3 linked regions of the Pelodiscus sinensis genome follow. The protein of the gene in region 1 purifies or fractionates together with the protein of each later gene. This does not show direct contact. Links are inferred from orthologs where the notes say so. Each region holds a gene or a part of one and is shown on either strand. Other genes may lie near its edges.

The links. Proteins that work in one complex are often made in the same cells at the same time.
Region 2: the proteins of CD151 (region 1) and ITGA6 purify together in Homo sapiens (co-immunoprecipitation; 3 studies listed by BioGRID and IntAct, with this or other methods). This does not show direct contact. The link is inferred for Pelodiscus sinensis from reciprocal best matches to the Homo sapiens genes CD151 and ITGA6.
Region 3: the proteins of CD151 (region 1) and ITGA3 purify together in Homo sapiens (co-immunoprecipitation; 4 studies listed by BioGRID and IntAct, with this or other methods). This does not show direct contact. The link is inferred for Pelodiscus sinensis from reciprocal best matches to the Homo sapiens genes CD151 and ITGA3.

What each region holds. Positions count from the first base shown.
Region 1 is NC_134714.1:120,080,653-120,088,083, reverse strand, and holds the start of CD151 (CD151 antigen), read left to right. Parts: upstream 1-4,225; 5' UTR 4,226-4,404; intron 4,405-7,431. UniProt on the Homo sapiens protein: Structural component of specialized membrane microdomains known as tetraspanin-enriched microdomains (TERMs), which act as platforms for receptor clustering and signaling.
Region 2 is NC_134717.1:41,892,607-41,900,610, forward strand, and holds the start of ITGA6 (integrin alpha-6), read left to right. Parts: upstream 1-4,661; 5' UTR 4,662-4,959; coding exon 4,960-5,123; intron 5,124-8,004. UniProt on the Homo sapiens protein: Integrin alpha-6/beta-1 (ITGA6:ITGB1) is a receptor for laminin on platelets. Integrin alpha-6/beta-1 (ITGA6:ITGB1) is present in oocytes and is involved in sperm-egg fusion.
Region 3 is NC_134739.1:15,236,267-15,243,792, forward strand, and holds the start of ITGA3 (integrin alpha-3), read left to right. Parts: upstream 1-4,183; 5' UTR 4,184-4,357; coding exon 4,358-4,536; intron 4,537-7,526.

The DNA of each region.
Region 1 (7,431 bases):
CATTGCACATGTCTGGTATCTTCTGAATTTTTCTACCAGACAGAGGGTGCAAATACTGGACTGTTTGGTAGAAAACCAGACACCTGGCAACCTATATGATTGAGAGGAAAAATGATCCCTTTGATCTGGTCTAGTAGTGCCTTAGCAACAGGAGATCTGGCTTCAGTCCTAACTCTGACACAGACTTCACTGTTATCTTGAACAAGTCATTTAGGCCCAATCCTCAACGGTGTGTAGGCTCCTCCCTCCCTCAAGGCTCTGGACTTTAATCTCCACCTTAGTTCTTCCCCTATGAATGGGGATTATTCTTGGATGAGTGCATTATACAACAGGGCCCTAATGTCAATGGAGCCTTCAGATGCTACATAATACAACCAATAATAGGGTCTGGAGAAAGGGACGCTCTTGCTGAAAATAGTTATTTCCACAATGCTACAGCAGAAGGGTGGGGAGAGGGCCCCTCCTGCCGCAAGGCACGCAGAGGACGGAAATGCCTTCATGTGAGAAGAGTGGGTGGTCTTTCCCCATCTGCTAGTGCCAGAAATGAGCCCTGAGCAAGGCTCCCCCAAACCTAGGGGAGAGGAATGCCTCAATTGACCCAGAATGAGGCAAATGTTGTAAAATGAACCATCTGGCCACTGCCTTAGGAGTCTGGTGTGAGGCTGTAGGTTGACTCCTCACTGGAGCTTGTCCCAAGTATGTGCAGGTGTATTGCTACTACCTGTTCAGTCTGCTGTACCCATTGTTGTCCCCAAACAGGAGGAGATCTGACCCTACCCAGGCACTGAAACATCAACATGCTCCTCTTTTTCCAGCTGGGCCGAGGATAGCCACTCTTTCATGGGTGGCAGGTATGTTAGGTGGAGGAAGGCACTGCCTTCCCTAACCACCAGCCTGGCCCCACCCACACTCTGCCTACTGGGGCTGCATGTCCTCTTCTCTCCCTGTGCTCCAGGAGCCTCTGTCTGTGTGGAGCCTCATCTTCCTCTGATACTGAGGGGGGAGGGCCTGGGCAGAAGGGGTGGGAGTGTGGGGGCAGGGGAGGGCTTGCCTCCCTGAGCCTTTACCTTCACCCACCACCCATGCACACTCCCCTTCTCCATTTCATGGTCACTTCTGCTCCGGCTCTACACTCAAACACCCTCCCAGAGTGCACTTTGCCGTCTCTATACTCTTGCCCCATCCCTTGCTCTCCTTCCAACAGAGTACAGATCAAGCAGAGAGAGGTTCTTTTCCTCTTGCCCCATACACACTGATTCCAATAGGCTGAACAGGAAGGGGACTCTCCCTGATTCAGGAAAAGGGGTGGGTGGGTGTGGAAGCTGGCTCCCTGAAGCCAGGAAGAGGACAAGGTGCTCTGCTTCAGCTCCCCTTCCCCAACACACTCTAAGAGCAGTTTTCTCTCTAACACCTGCCACACATACTTAAAATCTGCCTCTTCCTTCCTCGTCATCACCTCTTTCTTCCATTTTATAGCCCCTTTCTCATAACCTCAGGTCAACTGTAATATGAACTTATTCTCCTCTTTACTGGGAAGAGGGTGCCTCTGTTTTGATTGAGGTGAATATTTATGTATGAGGGGGCTGCCCCATAGATATAGCTGCAAAGAAATCCCCCTTCCCCTCCCCCCACACTCCTCTACAAACAAAAGAATATGAGCCTTGAAAGTGTGGCACATCTAGTCCTCTCATTTACTAATTTCAGCGGGGTAGTGGTGTTAGTCTGAATCTGCAAAAGTGACGAGGAGTCCTGTGGCACCTCATAGACTAACAGATTTATTGGAGCATAAGCTTTTGTGGGATAAGACCCACAAAGATTCCACTACATGCATCTAAGTGGGTCATATCCCACGAAAGCTTATACTCCAAGAAATCTGTTAGTCTATGAGGTGCCACAGGATTCCTTGTCATTTACTATTGCTTCCTGAGTTGGACAAGAGTTTTCCTTTGTTCCAGTTCCTTATATAGAGGCATATCCTAATTCTGAGATATTTAGGCTAACCCGTATGGGAAAATAATGGAGGGATGAGGCAACCTACCAGTCTGACATGGCTTCTAGTCTGCCATGTAGAAATCTCATTAGTGAATGTGTCTCAAACAAAAAAGTATATTTCCTGCTGGAGCCTCTAGAAGGGCACAACCTCTGGCTGGGCACTATTTTGCCATGTGATGCAAAGGGGGATGGTGCTGTAACTTGTGTGTATGACACCCCCGCTCAAGCATTCCAAAATCATTCTTTAGCTCCCCCCAAAACCAGGCATGCCTCTTAAAAATCATGAAATTGTATTTTGCTTGCTTGGTCTTCTGGTGTTTAGCCTTTAGGGCACACTTGCATTAACTCTTCAAGGTTTTCTGAGTAACCAAGAAAGCTAGAAGATTACCTCTATTTATTTCTAAATGAAAGGTGAGAGTCTCATGGAATCCTATGATTCCAGGAGTTGGGGCTTTAAGAAAAACATCAAATAGCACAATAACATACAGGAAGTTGTTGGCCATTAGCCTGAGAAGGGGGTAATTACAGCAGGACCTCCTGACCCAAAAATGTGTGGGGAGTGACAATCCCTTGGAGAAGCACAGCTACTGTGGAAGATAGAGGTAACTAGCATTGTAAAAATTATTTCTCTGTAATCTTTGGGAGACTTGGCAGCTCTGTTCTTGTCTCATCCAAGTGGTGGTGGGAAGGAGGTTAGTGAACAGATAAACACAGTTGTCTTTTAAAACCACAAAAAATACCCATCAATTTTAGGGTCCTCAGGCTCATGACTTTTTAAGCTCCTGCACATAGGAGCATATGGGTTTTTATCAGGGTTCAGAAACTCTTCTGAAATGCTGAATAGGGTGATGCCCATTGATGGCAGTTTGTGTTAAAAATCTCAGCCTAAATCAGTGGTTTTCAAACTATGGGTCATACTGGGTGGTGGAATACCAAGCCCTGGGTCATTTTGCTGTAAGGTAACCAGAGGAGGTAGACTAAGGCAGGCTTCCTGCCTCTCCCAGCACTGAGGACCACGTTGCGGCCAGGAACAGTTTGGGCACAGGAGTCAAAGAAATCAAGTGGGGATGGGGAGCAGGGCATAGAGCCCCTTGCACACCTCCACCTAGGAGCTGGACCTGCTGCTGGCCACTTCCAGGGCACAGTGCATACCATCATGCCAGGACAGGCAGGAAACCTGCCTTAGCATGACCGCTGCATGGAATCCACCAGAATTAAGCCCTTGTCCAAGTCCAGAGCCCCCTCCTGCATCCTTCAGCCCTGCCCTAGAGCCTGCACTCTAGTCAAAAGAAGTAATTGTGGTGGGTGATGGGCACCAGGGCCCGACGGAGGCATGGGTGAGCTGGGCAGCTGCCCGGGGCGCCAACCGATGACGGGTGCCTGATGGCAGCTGTAAGGGGCACATGGCATCCCTTACAGCTGCCATCAGGTGTTGCGCGCGCCTGGCTCCCGTAGCACCCTTCCCCCCATGGCTGCAGGTCCCTGCACGGCCCAGCGCACGCGCAAGGCAGGGCCGGGCTGGGCAGCTCGTGCGGCCTGGGGGCAGGCCCCGGGCTGTGCGCCAGCAGCCGTAGCGGGCATGCGCATGCGCCGTGCGTCCGGGGGCAGGCCTGCGCACCCTAGGGGGGCAGGCCTGTGCCACACAGGTGGGCCCGCGCGTGCGCCGTGCGCCATGGGGCAGCGCCGCACTCCTGGGCCAAGGGCGCCAAAAGGGCTCGAGCCAGCCCTGATGGGCACTGACAATTTTCTTCAACTGGTTCATGAGACAGAAGTTTGAAAGCCACTGGCCTAAATGTTCCCCCTCTTTATCTTGTCCTGCCCCCTTCAATCTCTCCCTCTCCCCCAGATGTTTGGAAAGTTAAGTCTGAGCCCAAAGGCGCCACTGAGGAATGTGGCAGGAAAGTGTGGGGAGGTAAGTACCTACATGCATCTGTACGCAACACAATCCAAAACAAATATTTCATTGTACACCTGATTTTTCTTGAGCTTTCTAAGTGGCTCATAACTTCCAGAGCCCAGCTGGCCTTGGCTTTTCTCCTTGAGTAAAAAATCAAACCGACTCAGTTTCAACCAATCCAAACAGAACCAGGGTGTGGGGCTGTCGGTCTGGGGAGCCACGGGGCTGCGGGCAGTGTTGTAGGCGGCCCAGGCGGGGGAGGTTATAGCGTTTATTGGACCAATTCTCCGGTTTACTCAGGGCGCCCCTTTGCCCGCTAGGCGTCTCCGGGTGAGCGGCGAGGCGGCTTCGCGCTGGTTCAAACCGTGTGGCGCAGCAGCTGCGGGAGCGGGCACTGGGAGGGGTCTGTAGCCGCGGCTGCAGAGCGCAGGGCTCGCTGCCTGTTTCCACTGCCGCAGGAGGGGCGGACTCGCTCGCCTGCTACCGTCGCGTGGGGCTCGGCGCGCCGGGAGAAGGTAAAGGGAGGCGCTCGGGGGCTCTGCCCGCCCGGCAGCAGCGCCCAATGGTCACAGCAGGACGCGGGGAGGGGGAGCGCGGCGCACCTGAAACAGCAGCAGGGAGAACAAAGGCAGCGCTCTGCCTGCAGCCTGCTCGTCCGGCGGCCGGGTGGTGCTGGGGACTGGACGCTCCCGGGCGCGGCCCCTAGGCTAGCGGGGGTGGGGGGAGAGCAGCGCCTTCCCCTGCCTGCTTCCTTGCCGCCCCAGATGCGCCTTGTTTACATAGGGCGGCTCAACTCTTCCCGCAGAGTCCTCGCCTCGCAAAGTGTCTGGGCTCCCTGCTTGCAGGGCGGTTTCCATTTGCACCTGAAACCGGGACGGTCCCAAGCTGGGGGGCGGCGCAAAAACAACGTTTTACACCCCCCCCCCCCCCCCCTCCTCCAGCACTTTGGGAAGGAGCAGCCAGTGACAGGAGAGTGTCCCCCTCCCCAAGAGCGGAACAAATCCCAGCTCCCTGGGGCAGTGCCCTGGCCTCCGCTTGAAGGCCACGAATTTCCATGCGGCCGAGATGGCCCGTGAGAATACTCTCCCCCTTCAGTGTATCTAGTACAGTCTGAGGCTTAAAGCGACTCAGGGGCTTGTCCAAGAGGGTATATGCTGTCTGGGATCCGCTGGAGCGCTGTGTTCACAAGTCATTGCTCCTCCCCACTGGGAGTCCTGGTTCTGCAATTAAGTTTGTTGCACTTTCTTATAACAGGACTATGTAACATGACTTCCTCTGATGCTAGGAAATCTGCAGAGGCTGTTTATAGCACAGGATTCTGGATAGTCTCTTAACTTTGTTGAGTAAAGCTTCTCCTCCCCCCCCCCATCTGCTTTGTTCAAGGCTACCCTTCTGTATAAATAAGTTTTGGCCTTTTGGGTTAAATATTAATTGGTGAAATCTTTGGAAGGTGGGAGAGAGAGAGGCAGGCCAGAGAGCACATTTACTAGGAAATCCACTCAAGTGTTGTTCTCCATGTGTTGCTGTTTTGCGTCTCCGTTTTCCCTGCCTCCCAGTTTGAAAGTGATTGGAGCTGTGTGACTGTAGCACCACATGCAGAGCATTCGCCAGCAGCCTTTGCTTCATGGCATCGAGTGGAAAGGCTAGATCGCCATTAGGGTGTCGTGATCAAAGAAACCCTTGAGAATGAATCCACCCCTTTGCAACAGCTTGTTGGTAGTGAGGAGCATATTTAACAGAGAAATCCTCTGGATGCCCCATTAAAAACCTTGTCACTTATCTTATCTTCTCCTCCTCACCCCATCTGCTTTCTTGCCCTGGGGTTTCACAAAGTGCTAGCCTTTCCTATGGATCAAGGGTTTGGATAAAGGTTTCCGAGGTGGCAGCCATTTTGCTGAAAAGTTATTTCCTACAAGCCAGCCATTTGGGATCCCTGGGTGGTTTTTGCAGTCCATGATGGGTTTACAATGGTTTAGGTTCTGATGGAGGCTTCTAGCGTGACAGTCTCGTTAACATGCAGGCCAAAGGTTCTCTCCGTTGGTTAACTCAACATGAAGATGGAACAGAAAGGTCTTCCCCCATCACTAAAAATGGTTGTTCTGAAGAGGCTCGGAAAAGCCGCTTCTGAGTTAAAACCTCAGCTTCTGGGTATTAGTTTGCTGTGAAGATAGGAAGACCATACCTGTCCCAGAGGGGTTTTTACAACCCCAAGCACTTAGTTTGCCTTTGGGCCTAGGGATGTAAAAAAGAATTTAAATAGTTAACTGGCTAAATGGCTAAAATTTTAACATTTAACTGGTTTCTCCGCCTGTCCGTTGCTCTGATACGGCTGGGGTGGGGGGAGTGGTCCTGAGGCCTGCCAAGACTGGTAAGAATTGGAGCTGGCCAGGGCCAGAAAATCACCTGCCTGCTCTGTGTGGCTGAGGCCAGGACATCACTGGGACGTGGCTGGAACACCAGAGTCCCACTGGGATGCAGCCAGGGTCAGGATGCTCCTGGGGCCGGGATGCTATGCTGAGTCGGAGCAGCTGGGGTACTGACAGCCACCTCCATGCCGGCAGGCTCCCCACAGCTGATGTAGACGCATCTCTGCCTACCCTCCCCTCATAGTAGGCTGGATTAAGCCAGGGCTGCTCCAGCCTGCTGTGGTTCATTGTGAAACTGGTTATGCAATGAGCATTCCGGTAAACCTAATGCTTACCAGGTAACCAGTTAACCTTTAACATCCCTACTTTGGGCTTCCGTAATGCTGCTGTTGTGATCCTGCCTCTTGTCATACACTAGGAAGAGTGGAGTTCAGGGAGAAACAGGTGCAACCTTTGTGTTCCATGGCTGATCTGTTACTCGGTCTAACAAAGGTAGTAAGTTTTCTTGGACTTTAATCTGTGTTTTAGGTAACACAGGCTGCCAAATGTCACATCTGTGTTTGTACATTGCCTAGCTCAACGGGACTGCATTGTTGGGTGGCAGTTTTAGACACTACTGGGAGAAACATGATTAACAAACCTAGTGCCTCCGGCAGTAAAGGGAATTGTTTGTTTCTATTCTGGGAGTGAATGTTACTGAGCCCAACTGTGATGACAGACAACTCTGTGACCAGAAGAGATAAGTTGCTTTTTGAGATCTGCAGCTTCTGACCCATAAAGCCCCTCTTACACTACATTTTCCCTCAGCGGTTTCAATGCTCTTTACTGCCTGACCCGAACCTGTTGTGCATTATTTGCGGCAGCTTGCTAAACAGCTTCTGTTCTCTAGCTGGCTGCTTTACGGTTCTGGCTCCAGTAGTCCATGTCTTCCTGTGTTTTACATCTTTAAAGGCAATAGTCCAAAAGTGCCTATTTAGATCAGTATTCCAGAGACTTCCCACTCTCTCCCGTGATTTGGTACAAGAGTCTTGCAGCCCTGCAGTAATTTTGAGAGAAGTTTTGAGACGTTTTCTATTGAGTTCTGCATTCTCTCACTGCTGCTCTCCTGAGTTCAGTTGCATCCCCCAGCCCTCTTTGCCAGCTTCTGGGTGGGCAGCAAGATGTCCCTTTCCCTAG
Region 2 (8,004 bases), on another chromosome or scaffold:
CAGAACTGAAAATAGCAGTAGTGAAAATTCTAGCAAAAATGTCCTTGTGTACAAAAGAGTAATAGTCTATTCACCTGCTTGCTTTGCTATTCAGAGGCATCAGCTATTTTGAACTAAGTCTTCAGGGAAAGCTAGCAATTCTAAAACTTGTAAAGGCATTGCATTAAGGAAATTATTCAAAAGAGTTGATTCCATGTATAAATCTTTGATGCAATTAAGAATTTAGAGAAGCTTGTAACTAGTTTTAGTAATGCAGGCCTGAGCCAATTTTCCATCTGAAATTAAATATAATCAATGAGTATATGGAATTTAATAAGGAAGAATAGGGGATACGTCAACACATTTTTGCTTTTTTAAATGTGCAGTGTGAAAGATACACAGCTGTGCATCTACGTATACCAGTAAATGATGCACTACTTTTTATGCCAAATAAATGTAAGGTGTGTTTGTAATCTGAAAGGTAAAAGGGTCAACAATGCAAGGCATTGTTCTTTAGAGTTTCTCTAGAACATAGATTAAAATGTCTTATCTGGCTTCAGTTCTTCACTTTCATTTCTAAAAATGAAAAATTAGTTCTTATAATTAAATCAACAATTGCTACATTGAGGAGGAGAGCATTTTTGGCACTGATGCTCAATATGTAGGCACAGCAGGCCAATGTCTTGCAGCCCATCTGGCAGAATACCAACATGCCATTAATAATCAGGCAGCTGAAAGCTCAGCTATGGCAGAGCATGTCAGACTAGAGAAAGGACACATGGCTTTGAGCTGGCTGAGACAGTAGCCATGGGTAGTGAGTTATTTTCATTGCATTATGATGTATATTATTATAGCAGTCAAAGCTAATTGATCATCATACCAAATTTTCATTTTCCTTTATACTGGGATAGGACCAAATAAAAAGTGTGTAAGAATGTGTTGGTTGCTAGAAGATGTCCCATAACATTTTTCTGCATGTGGCCTAATCTCTGCAATATCATAAGTCACTTGAATAAAGAAGAAAACCTATGTTTTCACACTTGCTGCCCCTCCCCTGCCTGGAAGGACATATTCAAGAAAATAAAGTGAAATGTAGATAATAGATCATCTATAGCTTAATTTTTTTTCTCATGATCAGAAGTTGGTCTAATAAAAATATTACTCCATCCACCTTGTCTCACCTGTTTGAGACTATTCCAATGAAACTCTAAAACTTTTGAGTGAATCTGTGTTCCATCTGACAAAAAATCCATTTCTTCTATTTGTCCCAGGAGAGGTTTCAATGTAACTACATTTTTAAATGTCACTAATTCTGGTAATAAGAAACTGTAAAATTGATATCCTCTCGCCACTGATGTGGCTAATAGTGAACAAATAAAAATGTATAAGATAGCATTGGCGAGAGGGATCCAATAAATGTAACATGACACCATTGTCTAGTTTGAGTACTTGAATGAGCCTACTTTCTGCCAAAGTTATTCAGAGCTATTGCTACTTTTTCAAAATACTGTAGTATATAATGGGGTGGGCAATAATTTTTGAAGAGGTTGAGGGCTGTCCTGGAAAGGGTGGGGCCTCAGGTTGAAGGGGGCAGGGGCAAGAGACTTCACAGCCTACTCACCTTGATTGGCCTCGGGGTGGGGGAGCATATGAAGTCTTAGTTCCCCTCCCTTCACTGCCAAGGGAATGAAGCGCTTAGAGAAAACTGCTGGCTGTTTGAACAGCCTGCTGGTGCTTTGTGCCCCTGGCGGGGGGAGGAGACTTTGTGTACTCTCCTGTCCCCAGGTCTTGATTGGCTTGAGTATGGGGGAGCCGCAGGGTGGCCATGGGCCAGGAATCTTTCTAATTGCTGCTATTTAAAGGGCTCCCGGCTCTGGCTCCGGCTCCAGGGGTTGTGAGCCCTTTAAATAGCAGCAATTTTAAAGGGCTTGCGCTTCCTGTGTTCCGTTACTAATGCATTGCCTGGGAGCGGCAGGGGAGGTGAAAGCCCTTTAAATAGCAGCAGCTGAAAGGGTTTGTGCCTCCCCAGCAGCTTCCAGGCAACGCATTAGTGGTGGAGCTGCCATGGGCTGGATCAAAGTGCTTGGTGGGCCAGATCCGGCCCATTGACAGTCTCTTGCCCAGCCCTGGTATACAGGCTGGATGTTATTTGTGGGGAAAACTCAAAATTATTTTTAAAGGGTTCACACTTGTTTTTGTTTTTGTTTTTGTTTTTGTTTTCTAGTAATTGCTACTTACCATCACATTTATGAATTGTAATAAGTTTGCTCCCTTATGAGTCCAGCCCTCTCCCCCTGTGAAATCAGTCTAGTCTTTGTGTTAACACAAGTCTATGCCATGAGGAATGATTGTGAGGTAACAGAACACTAGATTATGGATAATGGTTTTGAATAAATCAGACAGGAAGAGATGGAGCCTAATTCAACAGATACGTGTTTTGATTTCCAGGCTATGGAAGCACATTTGGGGGGTGGGGGGTGGCGCTTCATAAGAGAAGAAGATAGATTTATTTTCTCTTCTTTAAAAATTTATTTGCAGTATCAATAACCATAAGAAAATAATAAGTATATTATGATGACCTTGCTAAAATGAATCTTTAAAAATCTGCCTGAATGGCATTTCAAGCAGACTCAATTGCTCATAGAGGAACACTCAAAATAATTCCACTACAGTAATGTTGTCATAGGGGTTTGGCAAAAGGTTTAGGAGAAAAAACACCAGCCTGTTCAAACCAGTCATGTACAGTATTGTCTTGATTAAACTGAACATGTCAGCTTCAAGTCTAATAGATTCTAGTCACAAGCCATCATCGTGTTATAAGTACATTTGGGTCATGATGATATTTGCATTTTGATGAAAGACCTGGGAAGGCCCATACTATGGAAGCATAGATATAATCACTCCTGATTCATGGCTGATCTTAGTAGCTGAAATTTGGCCTGCCCCTACTTTCATAGAATACTTACTAATGGCCAAGGAAAACTATTATGGCATGCCACCATTGATTTTTTTTTATAGTTTTTTTTTAAACTTTACTTTAGGAAAAGAAAATGCAGGATGTAGTAATAAAAGTTAACTTCAAACAAAACTAAAATCACTGCTGACACTCTATCCTTCCAATGTCATGTACACTGCAGTGTTCTGCGTGACTGCATGAGATAATATGCATACTATTTTTAACAGTTGTAGATTAGGAGTTGGGCAATCTCAGATCTCTTCAGAGATTATGGAGTTTTGAGGCTCAAATGCTCTGAAGACTGTTTAGAGAAGACACTTATGTATATGTAAAGTTTTTTTTTTCTGTGTGCTTTCCAGCAGGGACTAAAATAACTAACATAGATACACATTGGTGATTGGTCCTGTGGCACCTTATAGACTAACTGAAGTAGTCTATAAGGTGCCACAGGACTCCTCGCCGCTTTTGCAGATTCAGACTAACACGGCTACCCCTCTGATACTTGACATTGGTGACTGTGGTTTTTGTTTTAGTTTATCTTTAGAGGAATACCTATAGGCTACGTCTACACTGGCATGATTTTCCGGAAATGCTTTTAACGGAAAAGCACTTTTTGCGGAAAAGCGTCTGTGGCCAATCTAGACGCAGTTTTGCGCAAAAAAGCCCCAATCGCCATTTTAGCCATCGGGGCTTTTTTGCGGAAAACAGTACTGTGCTGTTTACACTGGCCCTCTTGCGCAAATGAACAGGAGCAGCACAGTATTTCCGCAAGAACTCTGACGATCTTGCATGAGATCGTCAGTGTTCTTGTGGAAATTCAAGCGGCCAGTGTAGACAGCTGGCAAGTTTTTCCGCAAAATCATCTGATTTTGTGGAAAAACTTGCCAGTCTAGACACAGCCATAGTGAACACTGGAAACAGATGAAGTTCTGAGTGCTGCTGTCAAGAATGGATTCTTCAAAAGATGCAATGGGTTCTTAAAATGTTTTAGAAATGTAGTCACTATCTCATAACCTGGGATGTATTTACTATTGGATATTTCTTGTTATTGCTGTTATATATTCCATGCTAGTTAAATTAGTAAATCAATTTTCAGCATTTCAGTTTGCTTTTTTTAACTGACAGCTTGGTGTTGGGAGGTGCCCTTGGTGGAGCATCTGGTATCATTTTTAGACTGAGGGACCAAGCCACCAGAAGGGAATGAAATCAATGTGCTTGGGTGATTTATGTTTGCTTGGTGTTGGTTACTTATTCAAGGACTCTTGATTTGAATAATTAACTGGGGTTTGACTAGATGTAAATGACAACATAGTTCTTGGGTCACCCTAACTCTTCTGTGTCTGTGGAAGGGTTCTGAACAGCCTGGGGGCAGATCAGTGATACAAAACTTTATTTTGCTGCAGTGTGATACCCCTGCTCTTAATTTCTCTTTTCCCCAAGGTAAGATGGACATAGATACTGATGATTTGGGTAATTCGGGAGTTGTTGTCACTTCTTTGTACTGGAACCCCAGTGAGTTATTCCATTTCTGTTTTAGAACCCGGAATAAGGAACTGGGAATAAGTAACCAGGCAGCTACAGCACCCTTGCAGGTGACCCTTGATTGCAGCACTTGAGTGCTCCGGCAAGACGTTGGTGGGGGAGGAGGGAATGAATAGGGCAGGGCTGGCTGGAGCCTGGGAAAGGCTGCAGGGCTGGGCGACGCTCTAAATCCTGGACAGTTGCAGGGGTTGCTTAGCGGCGCTTTTCCGTCTGGAAGAGCCTCGTGGCGCTACTCACTGGCTGGAGGTTGGCAGGGACAGAACGGCAGGGCAGGGCAGGGAGAGGCTGAGGGCCGCAGAGCCGAGCCGAGCCCAGCCCGGCGGGTGGGGGAGGCGGGGCTCGCCTCTTTTCGTCACTTAGTGCGAAGCTGGGAGTCTCAGGAGAACAACGGGCTCATTGAGCGAGTGGCAGCGCGGGGAGCGCCAGGCGCGTTCAGGCGAGGGGCAGCAGCAGTAGCAGGTTCCCGCTCCCAGCCTGAACGGATGGCTCCCGGGCAGACGCTCCTCTACCTGTCCCTCCTGTCCTGCCTCGCCTCCGCCTTCAACCTGGACGCGGACAATGTGATCCTGCGGCGAGGGGAGCCGGGCAGCCTGTTCGGCTTCTCCCTGGCCATGCACTGGCAGCTGGCGCCGCAGGACAAGAGGCTGTAAGTAGCCCCGGGCCGGGGAACTCTCCCTCCCCTCCGCACAGAAACTTTCCCGCTGCAGCGCGACTCGGGGGCCGCCGCCCCGCCAGGCTCCAGGACAAGGCAGGAGCCGGTGGCGCCGCCAGGCTGCAGCGCCCTGGCTCGCTGCCTGCCTGGTGCTCCTGCGGGCTGCGCCCGGGGGTCCCCGCGGCGGGCAGGGGAAGGGGGCGCGGGCATCTCTCCGGTGGGGGGCAGGTTTCAAACTCCGCCGCCGGCTCCTTGGGCTGCGCGCGCGTTTCCCGGGTGAGCCTGCAGGTGGGAGCGGCGCGTCCCTCCCTCCCGCTCTCCTGCAGCCCGGGGCCGCCTCCGGGAAGCGGGCGAGGCTGGGTTTCGTGCTGGCGGGTCGGCTCCTGGCTGCGGGCCGCGCACAAGCGGAACAGCCACCTGTTGGCAGAAGTTGTGGGGCTGCGACCGCCGCCGCTTGGCGCAGCGGGGCAGGCCGTGTTGCCGCCCACAGCACCCGCTGGGTGTGCTCCCTGCTTTGAAACAAAATGTCTGAGCTAAGCTCCGTGGCTTCAAACCCCGGGGCGCCCCAGACCCTCTGCTGCTGTGCGCCGGGGCAGCAGCCAGGGCGAGCTCCGGCAGAAATGGCCCCTTGAAAATCACCGCGGTTCTTTTCTCTGCCGTAGGGATTCCGCACTACCGAGGGCTCTGGGGGAGCGGGGGGCAGCACTAGTGCGGCGAGACGTGTGAGCCTGGTGGCAAACGCTGACCTTGCATTCCTGCTCATGCGAACAAAGAATTCCGCAGGGGCGTATGACAACAAAGGGACGTTGCCCCCAAAGGCCTCCGCTGTTCTCAACTCAAGGCAGCAGCAGCTGCAGTAGTAGTAGCATGAGACTGAAGCGCTTAAGCAAGTGTACTCACACTAGGGAAAAGCAGACTGAAGCCAATGAAGAAACTGATGCATGCTAGTAAATCTTTAGTTTACATTAGTAGTTACTGCTGATTTTTAAATTTGCTCCCATTTGTGTAGAATAGTGATAGAGATGCAGCTGTGTTAGTCTAGGGTAGCTGAAACAAAATACAGGACTAAGTAGCACTTTAAAGACTAACAAGATGGTTTCTTAGATGATGAGCTTTCGTGGGCCAGACCCACTTCCTCAGATCAAATAGTGGAAGAAAATAGTCACAACCATATATACCAAAGGATACAATTTAAAAAAATGAACACATATGAAAAGGACAAATCAAATTTCAGAACAGAAGGGGGATGAGGGGGGAAGGTAATGTCTGTGAGCTAATGATATTAGATGTGATAACTGGGGAAGCATTCTTTGTGTAGGTCACTCTATGTTCTAGCTGTAGGAATGAACTTTATTCTTCCTGCATAACAGGAATCATGGATCAGCAACTTGTGATAATCTCTCTTTGCTGATGTAGGAATTAATCTAGACATTGTCCTGAGATTAAGTAAACTGTTTTTAATAAAATTGTAATTGAATTTGAGTTAAAAATAATCTTCCTAGGTTCCATCTGACTTACTTGACTGAATCAAAAGCAGTCCAAGTGGTGATGTGTGTGTGCATGTGCAATAAAATCCCTGGTGTTCAAGACTGAACCTGTTCCACACTACAGATGCGAGATCCTTGAGGAAGGGATGGGCAAATAAATTGGGTGTTGCCAACATAATCATGATAATAAAGGGATTGCTCATGGAAGACCCAACCACAAAATGAAATGTTCCTTTATATGCCCTCAGGGAGGACCATGAGAGTAACTGAATGGAGCATTATTTGGTCCAATGAAAGAAATTATCGAATCCACCTTGTCTGTATAAATTTGAACACATTTACTGATTTTACTGTAGATGTTATCTATGGATGATACCAAATCATGTGAGGATTTATGAAAGACCAGAACTAAATTTTATTTTAATTAAAAGCATGAAGTTAAAAGAGAATCCAGAGTTCATGAGAGAAGTGAAGTCAGAAAGTTACTTGATAATCTTACTTAAAACTTCCAGGGTCACGTACTGCCCTGAGTTGTGCCCTGTATAATGTCATTGATTTCAGAGAGGCTGCATGAATTCCATAGATACTGATGACATGGACTACTCCAAAGCTAAAGAAGGAAACATCTAAACCCTAGAAATTGCCTGTTAGTATCATACATCATGGCCCTATGTCACAGCTTATGCATGTGATTCTTGAAAGTTGTCTCATTTTTCGCTTAAACTTAAGATAATCTTTTTATTGATAATTAGAACCCCATGGTACTGTCAGTGCTGCTATCACAGGGTGAGCAATAATTTTTGACGGGAGGAGGGCAGTCCCACGATTTTTGGAAAGTGGTTGAGGGTCACACTCTTCCATGATATTAATGGAGGAGATGGGGGGTCTGAGATGGAAGTTGGGTGCAGAAGGGATCTTGGGGGAAGGGATTGGGGTGCAGGAGGGAGCCTGGAGCCTGGGAGGGAGTTGGGATGAAGCAGGCAGTTGTGACCTAGGGCAGAGGACTGGAGTGTAGGGTTCGGAGTGCAGGGGTTTGGGATGTGACCCAGGGTAGGAGGGTACTGCTATCTGGGGCAGGAGAACCGGCCAATGAGAATGTGCTGGGGGCGGGGCAGCTCCTAATACTTCCCTCTCCCTTCCAGTTTTAAAACAGAAATAGAGCCCTGCCAGCTGCAATTCTGCAGGGTGGTGGGGCAAGCCTGGGAGCCTGCCTGAGGCTCCTCGCTGCCTCCACGGGCTGGAGCCAGCCCACGGGCCATATTTTGTCCAGGCCTGTACTAGTAAGTGTATAAAGATGTGCGGGGACAATTACAGTTATTCATGAGACCCTAATAATCCCTTGGAGGACAGTCACAATACTCTTGAGTCTGTGAAATTTAACTGAAACA
Region 3 (7,526 bases), on another chromosome or scaffold:
CGTGGGGCCTGGCCTGGTGTCTGTTCTTCCCGTGGGGCCTGGCCTGGTGTCTGTCCTTCCCGTGGGACCCGGCCTGGTGTCTGTCCTTCCCGTGGGGCCCGGCCTGGTGTCTGTCCTTCTCATGGAGCTCGGCCTGGTGTCTGTCCTTCCCTTGGGGCCTGGCCTGGTGTCTGTCCTTCCCGTGGGACCCAGCCTGGTGTCTGTCCTTCCCGTGGGACCCGGCCTGGTGTCTGTCCTTCCCATGGAGCCGGCCTGGTGTCTGTCCTTCCCTTGGGGCCTGGCCTGGTGTCTGTCCTTCCCGTGGGACCCGGCCTGGTGTCTGTCCTTCCCATGGAGCCGGCCTGGTGTCTGTCCTTCCCGTGGGGCCCAGCCTGCTGTCTGTCCTTCCTGTGGGACCCGGCCTGGTGTCTGTCCTTCCCGTGGGGCCCGGCCTGGTGTCTGTCCTTCCCGTGGGGCCCGGCCTGGTGTCTGTCCTTCACGACGACATGAACAAGCCATGGGAACTCAGCTCTGGCTTGAGGCCCAAGGGGACCCTCTCGGGTGACCCGGAAAGCACAGGCCAGAACCGGGACACGCCTGTGACCTCCCGCCAGCCGGCGTGAAGGGAGTCTTGGCCCTCAGCCCCCAAGAGCTGCTGATCTTGCCCCTCCACCTCAAAGCAAATCCCTGCGTGTTCCGCGCCCCAGGGCCTGCCGGCTGAGCTTGGCTGGGGATGCTTTAGCCTTTTCCCAGCTGCTCTCATGAGTGGGGTCGCCTCTCCCGCCCAAGATGTGGGGTGCACCTGAGCTGGAAACTCCAGGGAGGGCTACAGCCAAGCCCCTGCATGGCAAATCCAGCCAGGTCTGGGCTGCGTCCCCAGAGGGAAACCAGGACAGTCTCCTCCCTCCCCTGCCCCCCCGCCCCCCCGTGCAGGACCAGGAACCCAAGCCCCTCCCACCATGCAGGCCCCCCTGTTCCAGGACCCCCGCACTGTAATCTGAGCCCCCCCACAGCCGCGCCCCTTGGCAGCCCTGGCCTCCAGGCACGGTGCTCACGCACTTCAGGAAGGGCGTCTCTTTCCCGGGGAATGAGGTCATGGAGGAGTTTGCTGGGGGGGGGGCGAAAAGGTGGGGTGCTTGGGGGGCACTGCCAGGCGGTTCCAGGCCCAAAGGGGGTGTGGAGGGATTGAGGCTGGATCCATTGCGGGGGGAGGGGAAGTGAGTCACTTTGCTACAGGCCCGGGAGTGCTGGGGGTCGGCTGGCGCAGGGAGAGGAAATGGGACGGGAGCCAGGGCAGGGCAGCGAGGTAGCGGCAGGATATGCAGGTGGCAGGGTGCCCACTGGTGCTGGCCCGCGCGGGCAGCTGGCTCTGATTGGCCAGTAACCCTCCTGCCAGAGCCCTGCAAGGATCCAAAGGCTGGAGGGGGATGTGTGTCCCTGCCTGCGACCTTTTGCAGTGCGGGGCTCGGGGGGCTGGGGGACCAGGCCTGTGGCTGCCACTGTCGGCAGACAGGACACTGGGCCGGACAGACCTTTGGTCTGGCCGCTCTGATGCCCTCCACGCAGCGCCCGGCGTGGGAAGGCGGAGCAGCGCGGCGTGCAGGCAGGAGCGGCTTCTCCCTGGCCCGCGCCGCATGTAAGGCCAGGGGTGCAAGGCCAGGAGCCCGTGGTAGGTGTGAAGATGACCAGGGCAATGGGGAGTCGTTCCACCGGCCTGTGTCTCCACCGGGACGAGCCCAAAGTCCAGTCGCACTCCACAAGCGCGGGGCCTCTGAGAATCCAGCCTCACGTTCGCCCCCTCACTGCTCCAGAATTCCAGCAAGGGCAGCATTTCAAATCCACCAAGGTGGGGCCCGCCAGCCGGCCTCCCACAACCACGGGCATGCTCAAACATTTGGAAAGTGGGCAGAGCTCCTAAAGCCCTAGCCTGAAAGGGCCCTTGCGACGTGAGAGTAAGGGTGTGTAAAACACGTGGCTGAAAGGAGAAACAGATAAGAGAGAAGGAAAGGCTGGGGCGTGGAGTCTGCAGTTTGGTGCTACCTCCACCACCACTGGCTTCAGACTAACTTCCATGCCTCAGTTTCCCCACTTGCAATTCAGGACATTGTGACACATGACTGGTATATGCAAAATGCTTTAACATCTTTCCATGAAATGGGTCAGAGTGCTGGCCTTCTAGGACTTGACACGTGTCATGGTGTGGCATTCTGAGTCCATTCAGACCTCAGTGGAAACAGAACTCAGCTCCAAAAACATGAGCCTCTGCCACTGGAGCTAAAGGAGAATCTCCACCAACTCCTACCAATATAGGGCATATGACACACAGCAGAGCAGTTCTGTTGCCATGGTGCTAAGTGTTGTACAAACTGGATCTGGGGTCCTTCTAGGTCATGGACAAACTGCCTTGCAGCAGTGCTTTGTGGGATGCTGAGAGTGAAGTGACCAGGAATGGGGCATGTGAGCAGCAGACCCTCATGGGGCCTGTTCCAGGCAGTTGCTGCTCTTGTGGTTATTTAACGCTTCCGAGAGCCAGGCCACAGGGCGAGGGCAGGAAGACGCAGAGCCGACAAACTAAACAGGAACGTAGCCTTCCCCTTTCATCCCAGTCACTGACACAACATGCATTGACTTGCACAGTCACGCTGCAGGCATTGCTGGAGCCCGGCACCCTGTGACCAGGTGCTGTTCTAGCGAAGAAAACGGGCGAGGACGCCACTGCACGCGAAGGGACTAGCGGGGCCGGAGTCGTGTCTGAATGCCGGAGGCTCAAGGCAGCTGCTGGGTAGTGGAGGACAGGCCGTCACATCTCCGCTCGGAGGGCGCTGGGGTGATGCGAGTGCTGTTACAGTCTCTAGGCAAACCCCACACTCAATTGTTCCCCATGTGCTTCCAGTAAGCTGGCAAAACAACAGACCTGGCCCGCAAGGCGGGTGTGGAACATATTCTTGCCCTGCAGCAGCGCTGGGAACCGAGGCTAGCGAGTGGGCCGCAGGAAAGCTGTCACCAAGCCGCTCTCCCGGGACAGGGCAGTTTTGCTCACTGTGCTTGCATCCCTAGACTGTGTGGGGGCGTGGGTTGAACTGGAGCAGCACTGTGACTGGCTGAGGAGGGAGCGCCTGGCTCTCCCAGTCAGTGCGGGGTGCCAGCAGCCAGCACCTCACGTCACCTGCCCTGGCAGCATGTGCACGTCACTTCAGCAATACTGGAAGGAAAAAAGTGACACTGTTGGAAGCCAGTGGGATCAGGGAGCATCTCGTGGGCCGCACGCAAAACCCCAATGGGCTGCAAGCAGCCCTCGGGCAACAGGTTGCCCACTGGAACTGTCCGTACCCATAAGTAGAATAGGCAGCTAGGAGAGGTACCCAAAATCTGGGGCACAGCTGGGTCTTAATGTCCATGCACCTGCCTCTTCCTATCCCTGTTCCTTCCCCCTCCCCTCTGCTTCATTAAGATGCAGCCCAGGTCCTGTCGGCCGACAGTGGCCAACGCCAGGTGCCCCGGAGGGAGGGAACTGAACAGAGAATCCTCACGTGATGCCTCCCCCGTGGCCCATTCCCAGCCTCTGGCACACGGGCCGGGGACCCATCCCTGCCCATCCTGGCTAAGAGCCATTGAGGGTCGGATGCTCCAGCAACTTGGCCCTTTGTAAACTTGTTGCCAGCCGAGTCCCATGGGGTTGGGGAGAGAGACTTGGCGATTCAGCCTTCTCCCACAGCCTACATCTGGCTCTGATTCCCCCACCCCCAGCAGGCTGCCTGGCTGGCACCAAAGCTCCCTTCCTGCCCTGGGGCGGGCGAGGGAATGGCGAGTGGGGAGCTGGGCTCCGATCAGAGGGCTGGAAGGGGCCTCTGGAGGCCATGGGGGCCATGGGCGGGCAAGGGAAAACGTCCAGTGTTACAGTCATTCACTGCAGCTTTGGCCAAGCACCCAGCCACAGCCCGGAGCCGAACTCACCGCACGAGGCCTCTCTCTCCCCTGGGCCCCGATCCTGCCGGCCTGTCCCCGCTCCGGCCTGCGGGCTTGCTCCCAGGCCCAGAGGGCGGCAGCTAGGACCGGGCAGCCAGGAGGTGGGAAGCAGAGAGACCCAGCGCGGGCGCCGGCATGGGGGCCACGCCAGGGCGCAACTTTGCCCAACTTTGGAAATCGCTGCAGAAGCGCGCAGCGGCGCGTAACGCGCCCTGAGCCGGGGGGGGGGGGACCAGCCCCCGCGCCCCTCCCCGCAGCGCCGCGGCCCCTTTAAGGCGGAGACTCCTTTGCTGCTGCGATTGTTCCCGTTGCCCGGAAGAAAAGCGCAAAGGTGGGGAGGACGCTGCTGGCCCCTCCCCGGCCCTGGCTCGCGCGCCCGGCAGGACGCACCTGGCCCCGGGCAGGACCCGCCATGGATCGCGGGCGGCTGCCGCTGCTCTGCCTGGCCTGGGGGGCTCTGGGCTGCGGGGGCTGCGCCGCCTTCAACCTGGACACCCGCTTCGTGGTGCTGAAGGAGGGAGCGACCCCGGGCGGCTTGTTCGGCTTCTCCGTGGCCCTGCACCACCAGACCGAGGGGCTGGACCGGCACCTGTGAGTACCGCCCCCCCCCCCCGCCGGGGGTCCGCGCTGCCCGGGTGCCCCTCGCTCCAGCCCCCCCGGCTTCGAGGGGCATCGGGGGGGATCTCTGCCGAAAGGGGCGCTCCGGGGCGCTGGGGGCCGAGGTGCCTGGAGACGTCACGCGCTCCTGGAGCGCATTGTGCAGCTTACGCCCTTCCCCACCTCTCCGCGCGAATGGGGCTGCCCTCGGGCCCGATCCTGCGCCCTCGGGGGAATAACGTGACTCCCCGGGGCGTACGGGCCAAGTTTGCTCCCGTGAGTGAGGGTTGCAGGATCAGGCCCCCGCTGGCCGGCTGGGCATGGGGCTGTCCGGCCCTTCTGGGACAGTCCGATTGGCCGGGGCAAGGCGATGCCTCAGCGCCGAAGTGCCGGCTGCGCCCGGAGCCTCCTGGCCGCGGGGGATGAATCCGATCTCCCCGGCTAATCTTGGCTTGTCATCATCTTCGCGCTGCCTGCGGCCCTGGGCCTTGCTTGTTCGCGGTGTCCTGAGCGGCGCTGGTGCTGGAGCTCAGCTGATGAGCCGGGAACCCTGAAACATCCAGCTGCCCCCGGGCTGTTTGACTGGGGCGAGGCCGCTGGCTGGTTTTCCTGTGGCCAGGGGAGGAAAATTCCCGGGGACCTGTTGAACTTTCCTGCCGTTCTCCAACAGGCGAAACTGTTGCAAAAGAACTTTTCGGTCCCTGGATTCTCTCTGGATTAACAGCTGCCCCCGGCTTGCCCGGGTCCCCAGCTCTGTGCCAGAGCTTGAGTTCATCTCCCAGAGGCCTGGTTCCCGGAGCCACCTTTAGATCTGGGTGTGGGGAGAATCCAGCTGGAGTATCCTCGTCGTCGGGTCGAGGCGGCTTGATTGCCCTGCACCCACAGAGGCTGGAACTGGGGGGAGGGGGTGCAACGCCCCCTGGCTTGAAGTGGCTTCCATCATAGGGGGGGGGTTACAGTTTGGTTCAGTGGCTTTCATCCCCCTTCCCCCCACATTGTGCCAGGCCCCCTGCCAGCACGTTGGGGCGCGTCCAGTCCTCCGGTGCTTGGGTGAGGGTCTAGCTGGGACTATCAAGGGGGTATCTCACTCAGCTCCCTGCCATTGTGGGGGCCTCGGGCGCTGGTGCCCCTCGCCCCCCTCCCTCCATTTTCTGCTTGTGGCACATGCTAGTCTAGGTTCCCACGGGGGGAGGGGAGGAGAGGAGGGCGACAGGTTCGGCGCCTGGGTGGTGGGTGCCTGCGACAGACGGGAGATCAAGCCGCGTGACCAGGCTGGGTCCCTCCTGCCCTGGCATCTGCCAGCAGCCTGGCGCTGGCGTTGACACCGGTGCAAACGGCTCCTCCAGCCGGCCCCGAGCAGAGGGCCTGTTTCCATTGCCCCGAGCCCTGGGAGAGCTCTCCCTGCAACAGCTGCACGGGCTGCGGCATCGGCATCGGCTGCGCATTCCAGAGAGGCATTGGAAAGGCTCCTGATGAAGTGTGGGATTTTGTTCTGTTGGAGGGGGAGTGAAATGTTCCGTGTCTCCCCCCTCTCCGGAACAGCTGCTGGGGCGGAGCTGGGTCTGGACGGGGGGCTCTGTGCTGGGAAATGCTGGCACGGAAAGGGAGTCTGTAAAGCCAGGAGGTTGCTTGGGAAGGGTGGCTCAGTGGTCAGAGCGGTAGCCTGTGACTTGGGAGAGGTTGGTTCAGTTTTCCCCTGTCACAGATTTTCCCAAGTGACCCTGGGCGAGTCACCAAAGCCTGGATCCTGCGGGTGTTTGGTAACCTCGCTGTGTTGTGGCTCTTGCTGGGAGGCGAAATCCATGGAAGACTGGGGGAGGGGGGGCAGGTGGACACTGACAATCACTAAAATCCAGACTCGGGCGAGGCTCTTCGGGCAGAGAGGCAAAGGTCAGAGCCAGGGACGTCCATACGCCACCCTCCATTCCAACAGCCCAGGCCCCAAGACCCATGTCCGCACCCAAACACGGGTGACTCGGGCCTTTCTGCAGGCGAGTGCCACTCCAAAGCAGCCCCCTTGGCACGACGGCCCCCGGGAGAGGTGTCCTGGAGCCGTCTCCATGCCCGGGGAGTGGGCGCTGAGTCCTGGGGAGGGACGGAGTTGTCGGGAGGGGGCCGCTGGGCCCGGCTCGCCAGAGAAAAGCGGCGAGGAAAAGTCCGTAGGGCAGCAGCTGCGTTTGCAAGCCTGCCTGGCCAGGGGCTTTCCTGTGTTAGCTTTGAGATAACGAGTCGAGCAAACGGTGCAAAGGGACACCCCTGGCGGCAGAAAGGGCCCGCAGGGCTGTTCGTGCCTCGCCTGCCGGTGCGGCTTGTGGGTGGACGTGAGCACAGGCTGCTTTCCTGTCGGAGCCGGTGTCGGGCTCAGGCGGGCCTGGTGGGTCTCCCGGCGCTGCCCAGTCTCCCCGAATCCTGGTTTGGACTCGGCAGGCACAGGAGGGGCAGCAGGTCTCCGGCTCCGCAGGGAGGGAGGCCTGGCTCTTTGGACCAGTAAGGCGCTGGATGTCCAGGACAGCTCCTCAGGTGCTTGCCAGGCCAGTTCCAAGCAGTGACCTGTCACTGACCACGGGGAGCCCCTGCTGCTTCAGAGGATGAAAAGTTGGATTGGCTAATTACAGAACAGCCTGCTCCTAGGGCTGTTTCTGCCTGACCCCTGTCAGTTTGCTCTCCTCTCGTGCCTTGAAGCATGAGCATTCGGGCTCTGAGCCAGCAGAACACTTAAACACGCGCCTGCTTCCCAGCCCAATTCATGTCAGCGAGACAACTCGCCTTCCTTAACGTTTCGCAGCTCTAAGTGGCTTGCTGGGTTGGGGCCTACGCTAAGACGTGCTTTCATCCGCTTGCGCTTTATCTTTTAATTCCATCTGTCGGCGGGAGAAGAGGGAAAGTAAAACTGACAGGTGTTCTCTGCACCAGCCGCTACTTTCCACGCGGCTGCCGAGTCTCTCCTGTTCCCAGATTAAATAGCTCCTGGGGAAAATTTTCCA